Drosophila melanogaster: one gene and its partners. The protein of the gene in region 3 interacts with the protein of the main gene of each other region in a pairwise test. Each region holds a gene or a part of one and is shown on either strand. Other genes may lie near its edges.

What was found.
Region 1: the proteins of M1BP (region 3) and CG11164 interact in a two-hybrid assay, tested with the Drosophila melanogaster proteins (one large-scale study listed by BioGRID).
Region 2: the proteins of M1BP (region 3) and D19A interact in a two-hybrid assay, tested with the Drosophila melanogaster proteins (one large-scale study listed by BioGRID).
Region 4: the proteins of M1BP (region 3) and Act79B interact in a two-hybrid assay, tested with the Drosophila melanogaster proteins (one large-scale study listed by BioGRID).

Annotation. Positions count from the first base shown.
Region 1 is NC_004354.4:13,666,509-13,671,729, reverse strand, and holds CG11164 (uncharacterized protein), read right to left. Parts: upstream 3,717-5,221; 5' UTR 3,644-3,716; coding exon 3,283-3,643; intron 3,211-3,282; coding exon 2,549-3,210; 3' UTR 2,157-2,548; downstream 1-2,156. Other genes in the region: CG15760 (uncharacterized protein), read right to left, coding at 284-429, 1,081-1,170; DNAlig4 (DNA ligase 4), read left to right, coding at 3,990-4,302, 4,370-4,534, 4,594-5,221.
Region 2 is NT_037436.4:6,184,456-6,191,748, reverse strand, and holds D19A (D19A), read left to right. Parts: upstream 1-2,625; 5' UTR 2,626-2,769; coding exon 2,770-3,715; intron 3,716-3,776; coding exon 3,777-5,368; 3' UTR 5,369-5,919; downstream 5,920-7,293. Other genes in the region: CG7386 (uncharacterized protein), read right to left, coding at 1-566, 625-1,935; CG43293 (uncharacterized protein), read right to left, coding at 5,983-6,045, 6,105-6,353; D19B, read left to right, coding at 6,948-7,293.
Region 3 is NT_033777.3:8,727,634-8,733,522, reverse strand, and holds M1BP (motif 1 binding protein), read left to right. Parts: upstream 1-1,824; 5' UTR 1,825-1,940; coding exon 1,941-2,081; intron 2,082-2,149; coding exon 2,150-2,853; intron 2,854-2,910; coding exon 2,911-3,156; intron 3,157-3,421; coding exon 3,422-3,587; 3' UTR 3,588-3,733; downstream 3,734-5,889. Other genes in the region: CG8202 (uncharacterized protein), read right to left, coding at 1-41, 102-757, 808-979, 1,040-1,153, 1,217-1,307, 1,374-1,390; ranshi, read left to right, coding at 3,863-3,982, 4,040-4,599, 4,652-4,897, 4,957-5,071; CG8159 (uncharacterized protein), read right to left, coding at 5,207-5,492, 5,552-5,797, 5,866-5,889.
Region 4 is NT_037436.4:21,982,621-21,988,371, forward strand, and holds Act79B (actin 79B), read left to right. Parts: upstream 1-2,589; 5' UTR 2,590-2,628; exon of another isoform or gene 2,629-2,704; 5' UTR 2,705-2,730; coding exon 2,731-3,655; intron 3,656-4,017; coding exon 4,018-4,223; 3' UTR 4,224-4,570; downstream 4,571-5,751. UniProt on the Drosophila melanogaster protein: Actins are highly conserved proteins that are involved in various types of cell motility and are ubiquitously expressed in all eukaryotic cells.

The DNA of each region.
Region 1 (5,221 bases), on a different chromosome or scaffold from region 3:
CCACGCCATCCAATCCATCCCACCATTCCAACGCCCCAAAAACCCGCCTCATTGAACGGCCTTGCAGACGACCTCCGGGGAATCCCCAAACACAAAAACAAAAACAGTGCAATTCATGATGACCGTGACCATCGCAGTAGCTAAATAAATCACTTCTACTTTGCGCAATTAAAAGAATCACTGTCTCCGAAAGATTCCTATTATTTTACAATTTCGAATAGATAAGTTAGATAGACAGAGAAGTTTCCAAAAGGAGGAGTTTCTCCGGGTCAACACTACTCACCAGAAAAACCAGTGGGTGGCGAAGAACAGATTGAGAACATGCGAGTCCGAGGAGGGCGGAAGGGGGCGTGGCCCGCCCTGGTACGGCGGACAGCAGCCCTGGGTGCAACAGCCCTGAGTGCAGCCCTCGCAAAATCTGGCAGACACCTGGGAAAATGGAACAAGACATTGCATATATTATTCGTTTAATCATGAGAAATATTTGCACATTTTTTATGATAAAAAATAATGTATTCCACTTTTTGTCGATACACCTTTGAAATTGTCATTGCCAATAAATAAAGAATATAAACAACAGCTTGTTATTTTTGTGGTGTTTTTGTATAGCGAGCGACCACTGTACTGCGCCCTTGTTCTTGTGCTCATATTTATGTTTGTGTGCTATGCATTTATTACCGTTGGGAAAGCAATCGCAATCAATTTAAAATTCAAATGTGCATGCAACATGGATGCGCTTGCGTTTATTTAAAAAACTTTTTACAAAGATTAGCTGTTATCTTTTTTTAAGGCGTTTCGTGGGCCCAAATTGCAACAAGCGCACAATAATTGTATTTAATCAAAATATTACAGTGTTGAAAACCAAAGTTTAAATTGCTCGCACATACAAAGGTTCCCAAAAGCATGCAGTGAAACGTATAGTGTCTTGTTTTAAATGAATTCACAAGCGATTTTTATCACCTTGACAATTTACATGTGTAAAATGCGCTTAAAAATTAACTACAGCATAACATTTCGTTGTTTTTCGGTTATTATGCTAGTTTGAGTGCTTGCAACATTGATGAAATGAAGGGCACTTACGTTCGCTGGCAGCAGCCCCAAAAGGAGGAACAAGGAGAGCAGGAGACACTGCAGCGCGTTTGTGTGCGAGGGAGAGGGACGGAGCCACATCTTTCTCAGCCGCTGACGCTGCCTCAGTCGACGCCGCTGTCGCAGTTGCTGCTCGGACTGGCGCCAAATGTCCTACGGGGCTGGTGAGGGGAGGAGGTGCGGGGAGTGTGTGCCTCTCCCTTATTTTCTTCGATTCTTCGCTTTCTTCTTGTCGCAGCCTCCGTTTTGTGTCCGTTTTGGCCCTCGTGTGCGATTTGTTCCTGTCTTTTGTTTTGCTTTCCTATCTGGCTTTCTACTTGCTTCTTTTGCTGTTGATACTTTGCAGTTCCGTTATTTGTACCACATGCTGTTGTTGCTATTGTTGTTGTGGTCGGACTCACACAAACAGCGCTTTGTTTTGTCCTTGACAGACGCCAAATGCAATTTACCGTAGCATGCTTTTGTGCGTTGCGTTGCGATTGTTGGTGTTGCTGCCGTTGTTGTTGCTGCTGCTGCAGAGAAGAGAGAATTTGTTGCTAACTGAGTGCTGCATTGTATTATTTATCTTATGCCACACCAACCACAACACATTCGCACACACACATACACACACACTAAGGCACAAACACCTCGACGACGCCAAAGAAAATTTTCTTTCGTGTGACGCCACTCTTTTCCTTTCTCTGCCTTTCACAATTTAAACTTGAGCACTGGCTTTGGGACACACGGCTAACGGGAAAATTCACTAATGTAACCCCTGTAATTGTTGTTCCGAAAATTCAAGGCATATAGAAAACAACAACAACAACAAGAGCAGGAGTAGCAGGATATTCGGTTGCGGGCGAATGGGTAACGGGGGTGGCGAAATGCGAATCAAGGCGCAAAGCGGAATTCACCGTTAGCCTCGAACGTGGGAGCGCGCACAGCAACAACTGAGCGACAAAAACGGAAACAAAGGAGCCAGCAGCTTTGTAACTGACGGCCAGGATTGCCACCCCGCGCAATGAACTAAGGATTGAAATCATATGTGTTGCATGAATCCCCAAAAATTAATTTCGTTTCTAGTTAGTTTTATTAGTATACTCTGATTTCATATGTTTAATTAGCATTACTTAATATGCTTATATGGTATACCTAAAAAAATATGTCGACTAAGAAACTCTTTATTCGCAACATTTGGCACTGAAGCCTCTAAGTAAACCAATTCCTTAGAAGCCTGGCAACGCCAACAGCTGATGGGGATTTACCAAACGGAATCAAGAGAGATGATCAAACAGCGCATGCGCCAAAAAGGCGCACTTTCAAAATACCAAATTTATGAATACAAATCTTAAAATAACAAAAGTAATTCTTTAAAGTACTATATTCATTGTAAAAAAAAGTGTACATTTGTATTAAATAGAGTATATATATAAAATAAGGAGTTAAAACCTATTCTTAAGATCTGTGAAACGTTAATCTACTTCGCTTTGAAAAACGATGCGATGCTTTTAGTGCCCTTGGCTCCTTTGGCCAGGGCCTTCTCCTTGGCGGTCAGCGAGCGCTCCTTCAGAGGCGCCGCTGTGGGCGATGTGATGGTGGCATTGGGATCGCCATCGCTGTCCACTAGACCGCTGGACTTTAGCTTGGCAGCAGCATCGCTCTCATTTAGCTTGATCTTCTTGGAGTCGCTGCCCTCGTTCTTGCCCGCCACCGACTTGCGCTTCTGAGAAGCTGCTTTCTCCTCAACAATCGCCTGAATCTCGCTAGGAATGTGCAGGTAACTGGTGAGCAAGCCGTGCAGATCCGCATCCAAATACCGTCCCACATAATCGCAAGCCATGCGCGTGTAGTCCATTTCGTTGCTAACGTTCTCAGCTACCAGTTTCTCGCTTCGCACGAAATTCTGCGACTGCGCACTGTGGCCGCAGTGGACTTGCTTCTCCTTCAGGATCTTCGCCACCTGGCGCGTCTTCAGAGCCAACCAAGCCAATGTGCGCTCTTGGTTGTACTTGTAGAACTTCTGTTCGCCAGAGCTCTTCACATCTGCCACGCATTTAAGGTTCCCTGGGTCGAGGATCTCGTTAAGCAGACGACTGGTGCTGGCCTCCTCCACGGCAATGTTGTCCAGCGATATTGCTCCTGATTGTGGTTAAAGATTTTCAAGAATACAATAGTATAGTATACCATCGAAAGCGAATGATAATATCTTACTTTGCGCACAATGTTTTCGGAGGTGATGAAGAGCCAGGAACGTGGGATCCACGGGCGCGGTCATGTAGATTCTGCCGTTGGAGCAGACCTCGCTGTCCACGAACCAACTGCGTCGGGGTTCCGTGAACGCCACCAGCTCCATCATTCTGCCATCGGGATGGGTTATGAACAGTGCCTCCTTGCCATGTCCGGGATGGAAAAACATCTCCAGCCGAAGGTGTCCGTCGTCCGCATCTTTGGGCAGCAGTTCCTCCGACATGAAGAACACCTTCTTCAGTGCCGAGGCCTTGCACATCTTGGCAGATCCCTCCGCATCCGGATCAGCTTTTGGTTTTCTCGCTCGCGTTTCCTTTTTGCCCATTTTCTCGAATAACTTGCCAAGCGTGAAGCAAAAGTCAATAACTGTGGACCGAACCAAAACAAACGATTTGCCGCCTTTTTGGTTATTGATAGAAGTCTATCGATTAATTTTGGTATTTTATATAGTCTGCTAATTTTAACTTGTTCCTATAAACTATTTTATCTATTTTATGCCAAATAGAAGAGCTTAAAAATTAAATAATCTCTGCCACTAACGTCCGCATCTTAATATTGCAACTAGTCTAAAATGGGTATTAACTTTGATTGAGAAGCGCGGTCACATTGCTTGAACAGATGTTCACAGTGATGAAATTGTTTACAACAGTATATTGTTTTTAAACAACAAAATGAGCGTAGATATAGCCAGCACGATCAAGTTCCGGGATATTTGCAGCCTGTTCGAGAAGATTAAGGCCACGCAAAAGGTGGCTAACAAGGAGGAGGTCCTCAAGAGCTACTACGAGTCCTTCTGTCGCCACCGCGAATCCTTTCGCCGGCAAACCGGATTAAACAACGACCAGCCGGAGGACGGTGCCAGTAGCTTCTATTCCGTGCTGCGACTGCTGCTTCCGGGTGCGGACACTGGTCGGGATACCTATGGATTGCAGATCACCGCGCTGGGCAGGCTCTACATCAGGGTGCTCCAGCTACCCACGGACTGTGAGTGCAGAAACGTATTGGCAATGGCATTTAGGCTTATTTAGAATCTCTTTGTTGTCTCTACTAGCCAGCGATGCCATCAGGCTGCAGCACCGCAACGGAAACATGTACCGGGACTACGGTGATGTTGTTTATTCCGTGCTTAAGCCAAGGTGCTTTAATCCGCCCAGCAATTTGAGACTGAAAGAAATCCATCAGATGCTGGACACCATTGCCAACGAGGACACAGAAGGTGGGCGCTTTTAAACTGATCTGAACGACTGAACGTCTTAATGAGACCGCTCTTTGCAGTTAAGCAGCAGCAACTCATCCGGTTTACGGAGCAGGCCTCGCCTGAGGAACAGAAGTGGCTAATTCGGTTGCTGCTTAAGAGCCTCGGGCTGGGGATCGGTGAGCAAAAGATTTTCGGTGTGCTGCACCCCAAGGCGCAGGATATCTACCAGCGCTGCTCCGATCTGGGACATGTGTGCAATCTGCTGGCAGACCGAACCACCGACCTAGACGCCAGCAGCAGCAAGGACAGCAAGGCGGCGGTCAAGTTTGTAAACCTGAATTCCGTCATACGGCCATTCCACCAGATACGTCCCATGCTGTGCGAACGATTCCCCGGTGACATCCAGGAGCTGATGCAGTCGGATGTGCTCTATCTGGAGACCAAAATGGATGGCGAACGCTTTCAGCTGCACATCGATCGGGGTCGTTTCATGTACATTTCCCGCAATGGAGTGGACTACACCAGAAACTTTGGTCACAGCTACGATCACGGCACCTTAACGCCAAAGCTGAGGGGACTTCTGCCGCTGGGTCTGGAGTCTATCATACTCGACGGCGAGATGATGGTGTGGGATACCAACAAACTGCGCTTTCGGGAAAAAGGCGAGAATACGGACGTGAAGAGCCTGAAGCCGGAGGGCAGCTG
Region 2 (7,293 bases), on a different chromosome or scaffold from region 3:
TTACGGTCATTTCTCTCCCCCAGAGGCTTCGCCGGCTTTTCGTCATGGACTTTTTGGTGTCGGATGAGCGCCGCTACCTGGCGAAAGCGATTGCCACACGTCTTACACTCGAAGGGCTTTTCGCCAGTGTGTATCCACTCGTGTTGCTTCACGGATTGCGAGTTGGCAAAGCGACGGGAGCAGAAACGGCACTCAAAGTCCTTGACTTTTTCGTGGACGCTCTTGTAGTGGCGCTTCATGTTGCCTATGCTCTTGAATCCCTGACTGCAGCTGGGACACAAGTACATACCCTCCTTTTGCACAAACTGAATCTCGTCTGTGGGATTCACTGCGGTCCCTGCCAATAGGGCCACATCAACTTGCTCTACGCGGCGGGGATTCTTAGGAATGCTGGCTACGGATTCGGCGTAAACCTTCAGCAGCTGATGTGAGTCCACTTGAGTGTCACTGGCATCGCCATTTACTTGCACCTGTTTATAAGTTTCCAGAGCCCTTTCCACGCTCTTCTCATGAATCTTCAGATGATTGTTGAGACTCTCCGAATGCAGGAACTTTTTGTCACAAACCTGCAAGGCGAAAATATATCAGACTTTGGTAACAAGGGTATAATGGTAATTCCCTTACCTTGCATTCGCAGCGCTTCTCACCAGTGTGCGCCATCTCGTGTATTTTGCAGGCGTATGCTTTCCCGAACGTCTTTCCACAGTACTGGCAAGCAAAATTCCGGATTTTCTCATGTACGATCTTAACATGGCTCTCTAGCACCCGCTTCGTGTGGGTGGCATAGTCGCAGATGCGGCACTTAAACTGGTTCCGTTGGGTGTGGATCAGAATGTGCTTACTCCATTCCTGGCGGGTGGTCTTTCGCACTCCGCAGTACTGACACACGTAGTTCTTGATGCCAGCATGCCGGAGAAGATGATTCTTTAGGGCACTATTGATGTAAAAGCCCTTGCCGCAAATGGTACACGGATAGGGAAGCTCTTCGCCCGTGTGCGTGTACATGTGCTTCTTCATAGCCACCGGGCAACGAAACACCACGCCGCATTCCTTGCAAGACTGTTCACCCCGCGGAGCAATAACCCTCGCCTGGTTGTGAACCTTTTTCAAGTGAATGGTCAGCAGCCGGAGACGGGAAAAAACCAATTGACAGCCCTCCACGGTGCAGGGAACCGTATCCTCCTTCTTGGAGTGCGCATAGTCCACGTGCAAACGCAGTGCACCGGCTGTGGTGAAGCCCTTTCGGCAGCTTTCCTCCTGACACTGAAACGGCAACAGGTCATTGTGGTGCTTCATGTGCTCCTCGAACTTTGATTGCTTTTTGAACTTTTGCTGGCAGATGGAACAGCTCATAAGGCGAAACAGTTTACGCTTGTCGTTCGCAATCCGTCGCTGCCCCATGGCCTGCTCATCGTCGCTGTTGAACCCTTCCGACTCCTTTTTCTCCTCCTCCAGTCCGTTGTGCTCTGCACTGGAGAAGTGCTCCTCGCTTTGGTCCCTTGAATGCTCCTCTAGTTCCTTGTCAACTTTTTCCAGCAACTTGAACACATCCTCCTCGTTGTCAATCATCTCTAGTTTGTTATTCAGCAGCGGATCGAAACTGGCCGGCTCCTCTGGCCTTTCAGGTGCCTCAGAATCATCAGCTATAGATTCGAATACACCCATGGGCATATTCCTCTGGCTGGTCATCATTTCCTTTAGACGTTTAATAGATTCTGCGCACAGTTCGCGGAAGTCATGCAGGTCGTTCAGCTTGGTGAAACATTGGGTGCACAGGTTTCTCGGGAAACCGTCGTTTTGATCCGCATCAAACGAAGTGCACGCCCTGAGCTTCTGGAACAGATCTGGAACCACGAAGAGATCGTGTCCAGCACCATGCTTCAGGTGGACAAGGCAGGTGAGACAAAGCGATTGGACGGAGTACTTGAGCTCCATAGTGCCCATTTCCCTCAATTCTCGGGCAGATAACAATCGAAGCTTCTAAACAAATTTGTTCCAGTGTGACAGGCAGTCTGACCGTTTCGCTATGCCATTAACCCATTACGGTGTAGTGGGGTGGCAAGTAAACAGCATACTTGGATTCTTATTTTTATATTAACTTGTTTTAATGTAAGTGCTTTTTAGCAAGACCATGCATGCGTCTAGTTAAAATACATTTATTTATTATTTATTTTTGACTTTATTTCGATACAGAAATCTTGTACGTTCATTTTCGTATCAAATTTTCTTGATGCCCAGTTTGTATATTTTCAAATGTCGTTGCTTATTATTAAAAGCAATTTGTTTTACATGTTTATATATACATACTAATACAAAAAAATTTGTTTTATATTTTTTCTATATATACATACCATTATCTATATATTGTAAGTTCAGTTTCGTTTTTGTTACTATGGTGCTCAGTTTGCAAAATATTTTTAAAAAACCCTGAAATACTATTTGAAGTATACAAGCAATATCTATTTAATTAAATTAGTTGTATATATATATATTTTTTTTTTTTGTATATTGCAACCTAATTAGAATTGCAAATAAGAAGGTAAGAAAAAACATTGATTGTCCAGCCCTGAAACGCAAAACAACTACGCACTCGGACGAGTAACTCGCTGGCAGAAGTACTTGCTTATTGCCCACTCGCCCGATTGCCAGTCGACGAGTATACAATTTTTTCTGTGTCAATATTATTTTATTGCTTACTGACCGGAGAGAGACGCAAAAAGCTATAGAAAACCGCCCCGATCCGCAGTGCCGATTGCGATTGAAAGCAAGATGAACGAGGGCAGGCAGTACTCGATCCACAGCCTGTGCAGGATCTGTCTGAACCACCTGCAGAACGACGCCGCCTACGATTTGTATCTGGTTCCAGGACTTTCGAAGAAGCTATGCTTCTGCACATCCCTGTCCGTGGAGCAAAACGACGGATTCCCGAAGAACCTGTGCACCCTGTGCTACACCAAGCTGAACGAGCTGCACGACTTTCAGAAACAGTGCGTCGATTCCGTGCAAAAGTTCCAGGATCTGGTGGCCAGCAATGTCTTTGCCTGCCAGAGCAGCTTCGACGTCTTCGATCCCAACGTTGCCGTGCAGGACTACCCGGCCGAGGAAGAGGACCACGTCAACTATGACCCGCTGCTGAACCACAAGATGGAGCTAATCGAGAACGAGGAGGATGTCTTCAAGATGCTGGAGCACGTCGACAAGGAGGCCGAGGAGGTGGAGAAGGAGGCCAAGGTGGAGGAGGATGACGGGGGCAACGTTTCCGTCAAGATGTTCGACGACGATTCGTCCATCGAGAGCGGCAATGACAACGACCACGATCTGGACTTCGAGCCAAATAGCAGCGATGATGACATTCCGCTGGCCCAGCGCATGAGGGGACCAGCTACCGGATCAGGACCCCAGCAGGACCGTTTTAGCAACCTAGACAAACCCAAGCCGAGGCCCCGGGGACGGCCCAAAAAGATAAAACCGCCTCCGCCAGAGGAGGAGGAGTTGAGCGACTCATCCTCCGAATCAGATGACTCCGAAGACGGCACATCGCGGGGCGACAAGCCGAAGAGGAAGCGCATTCCCATCGAGGAACGCCACCTGCACCGCATCATCGACTGCCACATTTGCCACCAGAAGTTCAAGAAGGCCATCCGCTACGAGGAGCACATGAAGTACCACAACGACCTGCTGCCCTTCCAATGCAAGGTGGAGACCTGCAAGAAAGGTATAACGCTGGCTTAAGTATAAATATAAGTATCCGATCTCTATGAAATCCCACCTTACAGGTTTCACTACCGCCAATGGGCTGCGCATTCACATCGACCACGCCCACACAGAGCTGTCCGAGGTTCACGCCTGCATCGCCGAGGGCTGCGGCAAGACCTTCCCGCGCGTCCGTCTGCTCACCTTCCACATGAAGAAGGTGCACGGTATCACCAAGGCGGCTGCCCCGCTTCGAGATTTCCCCTGCACAGAATGCGACACCGTATTCCGCTGCCCCACAGCACTCAAGAAGCACATGTATAAGCACACGGGCGAGGAGCTTCCGTATCCTTGCAATATCTGCGGCAAGCGTTTTGTAATCAATAGTGCTTTAAGGGATCACCTTATGCGTCACGCAGGCATCAAGAACCATGTGTGTCCGTACTGCGGGGTGGGCAAGACGACGCGCCAGGAATGGAACGCCCACATCCTCACGCACACCAAGGAGAAAAAGTTCAAGTGCCGACAGTGCGACCATGCCTCGCACAACAAACAGGCGTTGTCCAATCATGTAAAGGTGGTGCACGAAAAGCGCAAGGACTTTGCCTGCCAGTACTGCGGAAAGACCTTCGGCAAGTCGCACGCCTGCAAGGTGCACGAGAGGAGTCACACGGGGGAGAAGTGCTGCGAGTGCAAGATCTGCGGCAAGATATTCCTCTGCGAGAAGAGCCTCACCAAGCATTTGAAGACGCACGAGAAAAGGGATCTGCCGCCGGCGGAGCCCCTTCGCCAGCAGCTTAACATTCCCATGCCCGGCCAAATGTCCGTACCGATGCCGGGCCAGATGCCGATGCAGATGCAGACGGATGGTTTGGTGCCAATGGACCCCAACCAGATGCCTAGTGAGGACATGCTGAAGGCATGCGGCGGCGGGACCGCTGCAGTGCCTCCCAAACCGAAGAACTCGCGACGCGTCCAGCGGGTGGACATTTCTCAGCTGGCGGGTACTGCGGTAAATCCAATACCATCCGTATCCGTGCCCTCGTGGTCGCCGCAAGTGAACTTCACCAAGAAGGAAGGCCAGCACATCTGTCCAGGCTGTGGGCGTGGCTTCAATAATATTGGAAACATGAAACTTCACTACAAAATCATCCACGAGAAGGTCAAGGACTTTGCCTGTCGCTTCTGCCCGAAGAGATTCTCCAAGGCACAGATTCTGCGGCATCACGAATGGATCCACACGGGCGAGAAGCCCTTCGAGTGCAAGATTTGTGGCAAACACTTCCGCCAGGAGACGGCACTCAAGAAACACATCAAGACGCACGAGAAGCCGAACCGGAGACACGTGCCCGAGCGCAGTGCGCCCACTCAGATCACGTTCCGCAAGCTGGAGCCAGACGCCGAGCCGCGTAACTTTGACCAGTATCAGGATCCGGCGGTGGAGCGGGCAGCGGCCACCGCTGAGCTGCTGGCGCACCAGCTGGAGGAGAACGAGGCCAAGCGGAAGGCGGAAATTGAGCGGCAGAAGATCGCGGCGGCGGCCTGCGAGCAGCTGACGAAGCTGCAGCAGCAGCAGGAGATCATCAAGGCGACCACCTCGTACGATGGCTACTATGCGCAGAAAGCGCAATCCGAGGGCACCAGCCTGGATGCCCTGAAGATCGACCACGTCTAGGCAGCAGGATTGGCTTTACTTTACTAGCATATATGCATCATAACCTAGCCACATCCATATGTATCCACTTCCAATGCAGCTGACACTGTCCGGAAAAGTTGTAGGCATGCCTCGAATTGCTCTCTAGCTGGATCAGATTGTAGGTTTATAGGCACTCCAGATTATTCGAGTGCATATTACAATATGAACACTTCATACTTTTTACGTACTACGTTTATACATACATGCAATATATGTATTATTTTGTTTTCCGTGTAATATCTCCCGTGCTTACTTAGAGTAATGGATTAAAAGTAATATTCATAACGCCATTGGAGTTTCCATCTGGTGGGCGGGACTAAGAGACCACTTTGCAATACCAGTGATTTTTACAAATATATTTTAATAACAAAAAACAAATTTTTTAGCCCGCAAGAACATTAATCAAACCTTAATTTAATTAAAATAAGTCATTTTTAGCTGAAATCCATCTGGATGGTTATGCTGAATTTTATTTCATATATTCCGTTCTTTAAATTTAGACAAATAAAGATGATAATTGATTTTTAATCGAATATTAAGAAACATTTTGCTGAACGAAATGATGTGAAAGGGGGATTTTACTGGAAAAGTTTCTATTCTGCATCCACGTCGAAATCTTCGGATGACCCTTCATTGTCTGAAGGATTATTTGACTCCTAAAACAAATTGGTTAATCTTATGTAATACATCTTTAAAACTTAGTTGATGACTTAACTGTCCAGTTATTACCATCCGTCTGATTCAAATCCATCAAACTTGAGATAATTATCTTAGCTGCCTTCCTGTTTTTGTTGGCCTTCTTCAATGCTATACTCTGCTTCTCCAGGACCTCCTCCAACTCTGCGATCTCCAGTTTAAGCCTATTTCTTCTATTCCCGGCATGTTGCAGTGCCAGTTCAGTGTCCAATACCTTAACTTCAGCTTCGAGAGCTTTTACGGAATCCTTGTCTGGTTGTTGCTCCATTTTTTTTTGTATACTCTTACTCAGCATGACAAATAATAATAAAGCTGCTATAGAAACAATTGATACAACCATATTTATAGACATACCAACGATTTAAGGTATTTTGAAAATCCTTAAAAAATTTATATTTGTTTAAAAATGTATTTAATATTTAAACTAAGACATATGTATTTTTTATTTTAAATTCTCAGACTCTTTGTATTGTATTGATCTAGTGCTAGTATTGTGCTCGTAGCTGTCCGGCAGTCTCACTCGACTGTGTGACTTGACTACGAATACACACACTCGCTGGGTCTAATACGCCCATCGTACCCTCTCCGCTGCGCACATGCATGTGAATGGGAAAAACAAAACAAAACGCCTGAGTGTGGGTGGCGAGTGCTAGAGCTGCGCAGTTTTTCAGCGAGCGTACTCGTCGCTTGCGGGTAATCGATAACCCGAATTGCTGACGAGTGCACACACACACGCACACGCGAGTACACACAAATGTGTGTTGTATTGGATTTTTTTCTCGGCGAAAGAACATTTCGAATTGCTGTGGTTTTCGCGATTTCTGGCTTTCGGGATCGTCCAGCATCGAATTGAGTGTCCAAAATGAATGAGGAGAGCCAGTACTCCATACACACGGTGTGCCGCACCTGCCTGTCCACGGTGGACGACTCGGCGGCCTACGATCTGTTCCGAGTGCCCGGTCTGGCCAAAAAGCTGTGCGTGTGCACCTCCTTGTCCGTGGAGCAGGCGGATGGCTTTCCCAAGAACCTGTGCAATGTCTGCTTCTCCAAGCTGAACGACCTGCACGACTTTCAGAAGCAGTGCGTCGATTCCGTTCAAAAGTTCCAAGATCTGGTGGCCAGCAACGCGTTCGCCTGCCAAACAAACTTCGATGTTCTGGACACCAGTGCCGCTGTGGCGGATCTGCCGGGCGAGGAAGAGGACAACG
Region 3 (5,889 bases):
ATTTCCGGATGCAGATTAAAGCGGGCCACGAAGCGAAAGATCTTTAAAAGTATTAAATTTGTAGTAAAAGTGATTAAACGTTTAATATTTCTCGGTCTCACCTGAGGATATATGAGGAACAGGTCGGCAAAGTTCTCTCTTATGTATGTCTTACTCGACGTTAGGGTAACGCCCATGCGCACCAAGTAGCAGCGGGCATAGCTCGATACCAAAGGATCAGCTATACCCCTCAGTTGATGGGTCAAACGTTGCAAAATGCGCTCATACTCCTCGCGCGATGATGACAGGAACTCGTAGCACTTGAATATTGACAGCTCCAAGTAAAAACGCGGCAGTAACTCACGAATCGAGGCGATCTTATAAAACCAATTCTGGCACGTATCCCGGGCAGCTTCCCGTTCCCGCTCTAATGTGGCCGCCGATGCGGCAGGATCTCCAGAGGCCTTAGCACGCAGTCGTTCGTATACCAATTTTCCAAAAACATCCAGTATATCAGTGATAAGAACGTACTGACTCGGATAGAATTGCAGCACAGTGGTGTCCGCTAGCATTTTGGCACACTGTATGGCTATCTTCAACGCTTTTACTCGCTGATCGTTGTGCCAGGACTGGATCAGCTCCTGCTTGAGTTGCTCAAACCGCTGAATGTACTCCTGCTGAGTAAGATCCATCATGTGACGCATGCTGCCATCGTCGAAGTGGTCTAACTGCTCCAAGCGAAACTTTGTCTTGTCGGCCACCACCGTTTGTGCTTTAACTATGATTGTTGTTAATATATATCACAGATCAACCGACCACTGAACTTACTGCTTTCGTTGCCGCCATCCAGGCTACCAGATGACACCAGAAAGCTGGTAGACAGCGATAGCTTCTCATTGGTTGTAAAGCGGTTGAGGATGCCTAGTCGTCGGCTGCTCCACTGCAGTGTGTTGTCCTCGGGCTCCGTTCGGTCCCGTTCACGACGCTTCGACTTGAGATCCTGAACATCCAAGTGCGAAAAACTTAGTCATGTTCCTTGCCGGTGCACCACTCTACTTACGAATTCGCTGACCATTTGACTGAGCGGATCGTTGAGCTCATCATCTTGGCGTGCAAACTGCGAGAGCGGATCTGTGCCCTCTAGAGCTCGGCTCAAGGGATTGCTGTCCACCACCTGGTGGAGATTGTTCTTTCATTAAAATCACTTACAGATAAGGGCGTTGTACCATTTACCCACCGTCACCGTCCGCTGCTTTAGGGGATGCTCCAGCGTGGCCTGCCCAGTCAGGCAATTCTTCCGGACCTCGTAGCATCGCGGCACGCACACCCTGCAGTCAGGAGAAATGGTTATCAATGCTTATTTGTTTATTTTCGGGGGAAAATAAATAAATTACCATTCCAAGTTCGCCATAGCGTCGTGGTTGTTGTTGTCGGCATTCCTGACAGCTGCTTGCCAACATGACATGGACGTAGCCGGTCAGGGATGAAATACACCAAAGAAACTGTACTAATTCCAGGGACTTTAGCTTAGAACCTGTTCTACTGTATATATTTCGTTTCGCTTGCAGCTCTATAGAAATTAATTTATAAAAAAGATTTAATTTAAAGATTTAAATAAAAGATTTTATTTATAATTTTATAAATTTAAAATTATAAAACAAATTAATTCAAATTTATATGTGATATTATTGGAGTATAATAAATATGCAAATCCGTTAAATATCAAAGCAATATATAATACTAACGTTAACAAAGTAATTCATTTTCGAGGATATATATATATTTTGGCATCATATGAACCCCTTTGCCTACGCCACTGAAAATATGTTTATTTCGGGGCGAATGGCAAATATTAACACGAAACACCGGGTGAATGGCAAATGCAGTTGACAAGCGACGCGTTTATTTTTTGTGTTCACAAATATCTTAAAAACGATTTCATTTCGGATTGCGAATGAAAAATGTCGAAATCGGCGCTGAAACACCTAAAGAGCACCTGCCGCGTATGCGCAAAGTATGCAAGCAACAAGCGGTCGCCGAAGTTATTCGAGCGGAGCAACACAAAGATGATCGACAACATTGAGGCGCTCACAGGCCTTCGGGTAAATTTTTCACTGCGGCTTTATGGAATTTATGTAGTTATAGCTTAATTTATTGGTGTTTAATCTAGCTGGAGAACTACGGTTGCCTGCCGGATCAGATATGTGAATGCTGCAGCATGGAACTGGCCTCCGCCGTTAAGCTGAGGGAGCGCTGCATCGCCGCCCAGCGTGAGCTACTCTTGGGATTGACCGAGGAGCAACGCCAAGGCATCTCGGCCTTCTACCGGGCGGCTGTCATGGGCGAGGATATTGTCCAGACGGTGAAGACGCCCGACGATGATGAGGTCTATGCCACTTATCAGGAAATCGTATTGGAAGAACCTAAGGAAGAGATCGACGACACCAAGGTAGAGTACGATAATACCTACTACGAGGTGGCCGAGGGACACGCCGGCGAGGACGACGCAGCCTCCTTGATTGAAGAGGCCGACTATGATTCCATAATGGCCGAAGACGAAGAGCAGCAGCAAACGTTGGAGCTGGACGAAGACACCGAGCTAATTGTGGGCGACGTCAACGACGCGTACGTCTACGATTCGGATGATGAGGTGGCCGTTCTTGACAACGTGCTGGATGATGAGTACGAGCATGAAAACATTGTCGTCAAGAAGTGTAGTCTGCCGCCAAAGCCAAAGGTCCGGTCGGATGATGCGCGTCGTCGTGGCACCGGCGGAGTATACATCTGCGAGCAGTGCGGCAATCACATCAAGGGACGCATGGCCTTTGAACTTCACTGTCGTCGCCATCGTGGGGACAAGCAATTTGGCTGCGAGTGAGTACATTTCTACTCCTTTTTGGATACAGTATGACTAAATGGATTTATTTTCAGACTCTGTCAGTCGCGCTTCTGCACAACTTCCGAGCTGAAACGCCACATGCGCAAGCACACCGGAGAGCGACCGTTTGCATGTAAGTACTGTGGCCGCTGCTTCACAGACTACACCACGCGCGTGAAGCATGAGCGTACCCACACCAATGAGCGCCCCTACGTCTGTGGTACTTGCGGCAAGGCCTTCACTACCGGCTACATCCTTAAGAACCATATGCTGATACATTCCGGCGAGCGGGCCTACAGGTACGTTGAGTCATACAGCTACACAGTACCGGGAAACCCAATAACTAGGTTTCTTAGAAATTCTAAGATCATATTATGCGGCATTACAAGAGTTTTCCAAAACCTTATGAGAGTTAAGATAACTAAATATTACTTATGTTGCCAAATTTCGTGAGTAATATTTAGTTATCTTATAATAATTTCTTATAATAATATGAAACTAGTGATACTGGTACAGTTACTGAAATGTTTGAAATGCCATCTAATACTGAATCTTCCCCTCAAGGTGCGAGCTGTGCGACAAGTCCTTTATGCTGCCCACCCACCTGAGCACCCACTTCCGGTCTGGCGTACACAAGCGGCATCTGGAGAAAGCCGAGATGAAACAGGTCCTGGAGCAGGAGCAGAAACGTGAACTCAAGGAGGAGGAGGAGGACAGCCTGCACATCTAAAGCTGTCCTTATAATATATACATAGCAATTACAGGCAATGCTAGACCGACAATGGCGCACAGCCAAGGAGCATTTCTGCAAATAATTAACAAACCAATTGTAATATGTAGAACTTAATATTGAATAATAAATCAAAACTTCAAATCCCAACTTATGAGCATTTATTTCATCTGTAAAAATTGCTTCCATGCGAATGGCAAACGGAACAGCTGATTGACAAGCATAGCATTGTTTACAAAAAGTTTGGCGTTTCAAACTTTTTTATCGGCTCAAAAATGGAAGGAAAAGTGTGTCGCACTTGCGGCAAGCGCACGAATGCTGAAAGATCATTGAATATTTTTGAAAAGCGCAATCAAACTACGCTGGAACACATCAAACTACTAACTGGAGCTGTGGTGAGAGGATAATAATGCGTAGTGTCTTTAACTTTCTAAAGTTTTTTCTCTTTACAGTTAAAGAACTGTAGTACGTTGCCAAATCGACTATGTGCGTCCTGCCAAACTTGTTTGCAACAAGCCATATCCTTTAGGGAACGCTGTTTGGAAGTCCAAAGGGAGTTGCTCCATTCCCAAGATGATGAAGACTTCCTTAGAATCTGCCAGGAATCTCCCAAAAGTGTCCTTGAGCAGGAGGAGTTGGAACTGGATCTGGCAGAAATAAGCATAGAAGTCGAGCGATTAGACGATCTCAATGAAGGGCCCATTCAAAGCTCCGGTTTTAAAGTGGAGGACATTCTAAATGAATCTAAAATCAACGAAGACGAGCCCAATAATGAGGACGATATTGATTATAGTGAAATGGATTACCTTATTTACGAAAGCGATACTGAAGTAGATGCAAAGCAGGAACTCAAATCAGACTCTGAGAATCCCAAAAAAAGGAGAAATCGTCGAAATCCCCGCGACTCCAATAGGACCTTCTTTTGTGAGGAGTGCGGAAATCACATAAAAGATCGAATATCATTCATACTGCATTGTAAGCGACATCGCGGCGTCAAGGAGTTTGGGTGCGAGTAAGTGGCAATTCTACTTAAGATTGATCCTAACTAATCCGCTTCATTTAAGATTCTGTGAGGATCGCTTCTGCACGCCGGCGGAACTTAAGCGTCACATTCGCAAGCATACCGGGGAAAAGCCCTTCAAGTGCAGACACTGTTCCCGCAGCTTTTCTGACTACAGCACTCGGTTGAAGCACGAGCGGACTCACACTAACGAACGACCTTTTGTCTGCAAGGAGTGTAACAATGCCTTCACAACATCCTATATTCTTAAGAACCACATGCTCGTGCATACCGGGGAGAAGGCTTTTAGGTAAGCGGGTACTCGAAATAGTACTTAAGTGTAATAATAATAATCTATTCTATTTGCAGGTGCGACCTCTGCGATAAGTTATTCAGTCGCTACACACACCTTACTACCCATTATCGTTCAAATGCTCACAGACGAAACATGCAGAAAGCAGACACAATCTTTGATAAACCCTAAAAGGTATCACTTAAGAAGCTCTTAGTTGAAAACGGTTGCATTACCAAAATAGGAATTTTTACAAAAAAAATCAAAACGGATAATCAAATTGTGAACTATATTTGGCTTTAAAGGTTGAGATGGACTCATTAAGGTCTAGTTTGTACTATACATTAGAGTGGATGTTTCCAGAGCAGCCAGGCCCAAAGACTCATCCTGCTCCTGCTCCGCGGGCAAAGGCACTTCTATCGTAAAGGCATCCGCCTCTGCTTCTGGCTCCTTTTCCGTCACGAATTTGACCTGATCCGCTGACTGGGATGGTGACAGCTGAACTCCACCCGCGTCTGCCATCGATTTCTCCAAGTTGTGCTTATGAGTGTTAGAGCGGAAGTGAGTCTTCAAGTGGGTGGGTCGCGCAAAGGATCGATGGCACAGCTCACATCTGCAAAGGATCGGCTAGGTGATCATTAACTTAAGCACTATTTATCATAGTTTACTAGCCTGAACAGGCGCTCGCCCGTGTGGATAAGCATGTGGTTCTTGAGGATGTAGGAATTGGTAAAGCTCTTGCCGCACTGCGCACAAATAAAGGGTCGATCATTTGTGTGGGTCCGCTCGTGACGCAGGCGACCACTGTAGTTGACGTAGGTGCGGTCACAGTAACGACACTGGAACTTGCGATCTCCAGTGTGCATCACTTGGTGTCCTTTCAGCTCACCGGAGGACAGGAAGCGGGCGGGGCAGAGTCTACATGAGAGCAATGTTACACAGTTAACTATCAGATTGTACAATTGACGAGCTAAAGCTTTTCTTACTCGCACTGAAAGGGCCTAATTCCG
Region 4 (5,751 bases), on a different chromosome or scaffold from region 3:
AAAAATATTTGCAGAGACAACTTGTGTAATTAATAAAGTAAGGGAGAGAAAGTGGGCGAAGGTTGTTCAAACTGTCAGCCCTTGTCTTGGGCCCTCAAAGTTTGCAGCGAAAGTTCCGCGCTGCAGATGGGGGATACAAGAAAATAAAATTAACTGGAAGAAAGCTGGAGAAATTGCGCTTTAAGTTTCAATCTCTCGAAAATATGATGTACTTTATAAACGGGTATTCCTATTACAAATCATAAATTAGCCATGGAACGTGCAATCCAGCTAAGCATAGTTCTGCCCCGCGGCTACTCGGAGGCGCCTCCAGCTTGGAATGCAACCGCGTGGCAAGTATTTTAATTTTTCTGTGCACTGGAGCAAGTTTCTTAGGCCAGCTCAACACCCCTCGCTCCCTCTCTCCGCCCAGAAACTTTTCGCATTGCGTGCTGGCCGGAGGAGGCGTGGAGGTGCCGCAGGTGGAGCTGTGGACGGGCAGGGCTTTGCCATTTGGTTCTGCCACCAAAGGTGGCTCCTTCGTCCTGTCAACGCGCTAACTTTTTCGCCGAATTTTCCTCTTGAAACTTCAAGCTAAATTGATGTTGGGGTCAGACAGCAAGGGTGCAAGGGAAAATTGAGCAGTACCAAAAGCGCAGAATGGAGGTAAATCTGTCTATATTTACTTGAAGAAATCTATGTGTAATCTATTAATATACAACCGAAAAATAACCAAAATATGATTTCCAAAAGGGCACTCTTATTTGTTGATCGAAACAAGACCTTCTAAGAACTAATTAAGACTTACTTAGCACTGATTACAAATACTATCTGCCCACTTAATTGATCCGATCCCATGCCACATTTAGCTGTGAACTGAAAAAGTTGCAATATATCGAAGTATTCAGAGCTCCTCCACCCCTGGATGCGGTTATCTACTGAGTCGGAGGAACCACAAGTCCCTGCTGGCGGGCATTATTTTTACCTCTTTCAACTACTCGACGCGCGTACGACCAATGATACGTGGTTGGTGTCCGTACCTGATCCGCAAGGTGGTCACGTAATGCTCCGCAGTTGGCGAGCACTTGGCAAAGTTAACGGGCCAAAGTTGGAGCTCAGAAGTTTGCTCCTTTGGGGAATGCACTCGCTGCAGTAAAAGCAGAGTGCATGCACCTCCTCGGATGGGGCACACTTAATTAGAATATCGGGCATTAATCTTATGGCTAATGCCACGATGAGATCGAGCGATATCGGTGGACAGGCGCAAAATTGCTGTTGGCCGCATGCACCGCTGCGCCAAACCCCCCAACCACTTTCCTTTGGGCTCACAGGGCTATGTGCCGTGCATAGCCGTACAAAATTATTTGATTCTATTTTTTCAATTTGATTTCAATGAAATCCACACGACAGCGTCAACATTTATAAGATGTATAAACGCAAGTGCTTTGGCTGCATTTTTGAGTGTGACAACATTCGGGCCACACCATCTATGGACTGAGTGGGGGCCCAGAAGAGCATTGGCACCAATTTCTCTTACTCGAGCAGGGAAAAGCTGCCTACAAGACCAAGATAAAGAACTTGGGGGAAAGGCTGGCCACTACATTGCATTGTTCACGGGTTGTTCTTGTTGCTGCGCCGCCGTTTTGCGGGGGTTTATTTATATAAAAACTTAAAAATATATCTACAGATGCCTATACAAGTCCTGGCGCATATTTCGATATGTTCTCTCCTCTGTTCTTTGTCGAAGTCATAGCAAAGTTGGCAGCCAGACATAATTTAGCGAAAACGAAATGAAACTAAGTGATAAATGGTATTTGGGAATGGAGCAAATTGAATACTCTGAACGAACGCAAAATCCCGATAATGCTCTGACTAATACGACTTAGGGCCTGATGGAAATAAATTATTCTATCAAAAAACGGAGAGCCTATTGTCAGAGCTTAAATCGAAGCTCGTTAGATAAATCCATTTGTTAGCTTTGGCTTAACACATTCTGTCATTTGATGCTTAAATTAAAAGTAATTGGAATACCCAATTTTGCTATTTGTCAAAAAAATATATCTATTGTGTATATTTGGGACTATTGCCATTCTAAAACAATATATAAAATAAATATAAATATTTATATTATGTATGTATATTTATGACTATTGCCATTCTAAAACAATATATAAATATCAAAACTATCTAGCCTAAGCCCAGCGTTCCAATAAATTATTTATTTTCCCAAATTTCACAAGCTTATAAGTGTGTGCGGATTAAAATTCTAACAATATAACAAGACTTACAACTTACAAAACAACTTATTTTATATTGAAATCTAGTACCAATTTAGTTGCTCTAAGTTGTGGCTTAACTAGGGTTCTTTAATTCGTAATCCAACTTGTTGCCGTAGGCGTAATACCCGAAATCAGAACACTTTTGTGAAATCGAAATGATGTGCATCCGACCACCCTCCCCGGAAACGCCTGATCCCCAGCCAGCGTTGCATATCGCGGAATTCATCAACATGTTACTAGATGAACAATTGTTCGAGATGACAGGGACATGGGCGTGGGGCCGGCGGGGCGGGACAGAACTTATTTAAATGCAGCTGCCGGAGCGCATAACGAATCACTCTGATCGCTGTCGCTGTTGGATTTACACGTCGTGAGTGTAGTCTTGTCCGCCCATCCGAAATCCGTAACCCGCATAAGGGATAACCGATCTGTCTGTATCCTTGTAGTGCCGCCCGCACCAAACTAACCAAACATGTGTGACGAAGAAGCATCAGCCCTGGTCGTAGACAACGGCTCCGGCATGTGCAAGGCCGGATTCGCCGGAGACGACGCGCCCCGCGCCGTATTCCCCTCGATCGTAGGCCGTCCCCGTCACCAGGGCGTGATGGTGGGTATGGGTCAGAAGGACTGCTACGTGGGCGACGAGGCGCAGAGCAAGCGCGGTATCCTGTCGCTGAAGTACCCCATCGAACACGGCATTATCACCAACTGGGATGACATGGAGAAGGTCTGGCACCACACCTTCTACAACGAGCTGCGTGTGGCCCCCGAGGAGCACCCCGTTCTGCTGACCGAGGCTCCCTTGAACCCCAAGGCCAACCGCGAGAAGATGACCCAGATCATGTTCGAGACGTTCAACTCCCCGGCCATGTACGTGGCCATCCAGGCCGTGCTCTCCCTGTACGCCTCCGGCCGTACCACCGGTATCGTCCTGGACTCCGGTGACGGTGTCTCCCACACCGTGCCCATCTATGAGGGCTATGCCCTGCCCCACGCCATCCTTCGTCTAGATCTGGCCGGTCGCGATCTAACCGACTACCTGATGAAGATCCTCACCGAGCGCGGCTACAGCTTCACCACCACCGCCGAGCGCGAGATTGTGCGCGACATCAAGGAGAAGCTGTGCTACGTCGCCCTGGACTTCGAGCAGGAGATGGCCACTGCCGCCGCCTCCACCTCCCTGGAGAAGTCTTACGAGCTGCCCGATGGCCAGGTAATCACCATCGGCAACGAGCGCTTCCGCACCCCGGAGGCCCTCTTCCAGCCATCGTTCCTGGGCATGGAGTCCTGCGGCATCCACGAGACCGTCTACCAGTCCATCATGAAGTGCGACGTGGACATCCGCAAGGATCTGTATGCCAACAATGTGCTGTCTGGCGGCACTACCATGTATCCAGGTGCGTAGTCTTAATTAATTAGGACCATAAAGTTCAGAGGAAATTCTTCCGAGGGAATGGGATCAAAACTATGCGGGATACTTAAAAAAAAAAACAAGTGTTACTTTATACATTCATTTGGCAGAGAGGAAATCTTTAAATAATAAAGCCTAAATATTTAGCTGAGCTTTGTAATAACAGTTAAAAAAAATCTTATGGAAAGTAGTATTACAAAAAAAAAAAAAAGAATTCACCTAATGGGTTATATCCTTTCCCTATATCTCATATTCATGCATGCTATTATTAAAATGTCATGTAATGAGTACACCAAAGCTCCTCGGTTCTGTAGCACCACTAATGGATTCTATTTCTGTCCTCTTCAGGTATCGCTGACCGTATGCAAAAGGAAATCACCGCACTTGCCCCGTCCACCATCAAGATCAAGATCATCGCCCCGCCAGAGCGCAAGTACTCCGTCTGGATCGGTGGCTCCATCCTGGCTTCGTTGTCCACCTTCCAGCAGATGTGGATCTCCAAGCAGGAGTATGACGAGTCCGGTCCCGGCATCGTCCACCGCAAGTGCTTCTAAGCATCCAAGCCACCCAAACCAGATCAACATCTCCTCGAGCGCGGCCCTGGTGTTTGTCTCCAGCGTAAGACATCCGACCAGGCGCCGGCGCCAAGGGTGAGGACGCAGTTCAGTGAAAAGTATCTTTAAATTACATTTAGTTGATGAAGAAGTTTTAACATAGATAGAGAAAACAAGAGAAAGAGACGAGAAAAGACCGGAAACGAGCGGCAACGCCTTCTTTTTTTATTATTATTGCTATTTTTATTTGATTTGACTCGGAATTTGTACTGCTTGACTCGCTTGCCAGCGCGTAAAGTGGCCAAAACAATCGGTTGTACGTACAATAAAAACCAATAACCCATGTGAATCGAACCCAAGTCGAACGTCACAGGAGCAGCAGGAATGCGTGGTGGGGAAACTTTTTTAATTAGGCCTCGACGAATGTCAATCAGGCACTTGCCGGCCAACTTTTATTCTCTAACAGCTGCCATGGCAATCCCCCAGTACGGGTATCTGTATCTGTATCTGTATCTGTATCTGTATCTGTGCATCTATCCCCCCGCATGCTCTTCTGTCACATTTTCACAAACCCAGATGGATTTTCCACACGAAGAGAGGTTGCGAGGAATGACTTCTGGAGGACTGAAGTCGGAAATACAAGGAGCAGCGACAGTCTTAACTGGAGCCCAACTGCTCACAGAACTTTTCGCCAACATAAATGTTTGTGCTCAACTTTTGGCTGCAAACTTTTGAGGTTTCGCCAAACTATGCATAAACCAGGTGCCGAAAACTGTTGCTTAATTAGTTAGGGCCAAGCTTGCTGGAGTCGCCAAAGAAAAGAGTCTAACTGGGTTTATTGGTCTAATGTCTGCTGCTAAGTCGTCAGTAACACGGAAACTCTTCTAATGACTAGGGAGCACGTGCATTCTTGATGTTTTTGGGCACCCAAAATCTTGCCCCAAAACCTTGCCAATTATGATTTTAGAGATGCAGTCCTGGGGATTCTGGCACGTGTAGATATCAATTGAACTTTTGTTCCATGGTCCTTGCACCAACGCCACTGCTCAGCGGTCCATGGGTCATTGGATCCAAGTGCGGTTCATTATCCGCCGTCCAGCCAGGGAGAGCGGAAACAGAGAAATTAGTGCGGCACGTTGGCGTACAACTAAATGTTTGGCGGACTGGCTGGTCCGAAATGATAGTAAAGGCCTGGCTGGAAATCGCTACTCAATCAATCAGTGGTCGCAGCAGGTCAACAAATTTGGCCATAAAGCCCTAAAACTGAGGGGTTAATAGCTAATGGGTCGATTTGGCCCACACTCAGAGAAGTCACTAGAATGCACATTTATGATTCCTGGCTAAATTTTTATATATTTCTGTGGTTAAGTTAACTTATGTGAGAAAGAACAATTCTTTAACCAATATCACAGTTAACATTAATAATAACATTTTTGCAGATAATTTTAGTAAAAGTGGAAATAGAGTGGAGCTAAAATTTTTTCTTCTTTTAGTGCAGAATACCAGGCGGCCGAAAAGTGGGCCAAAA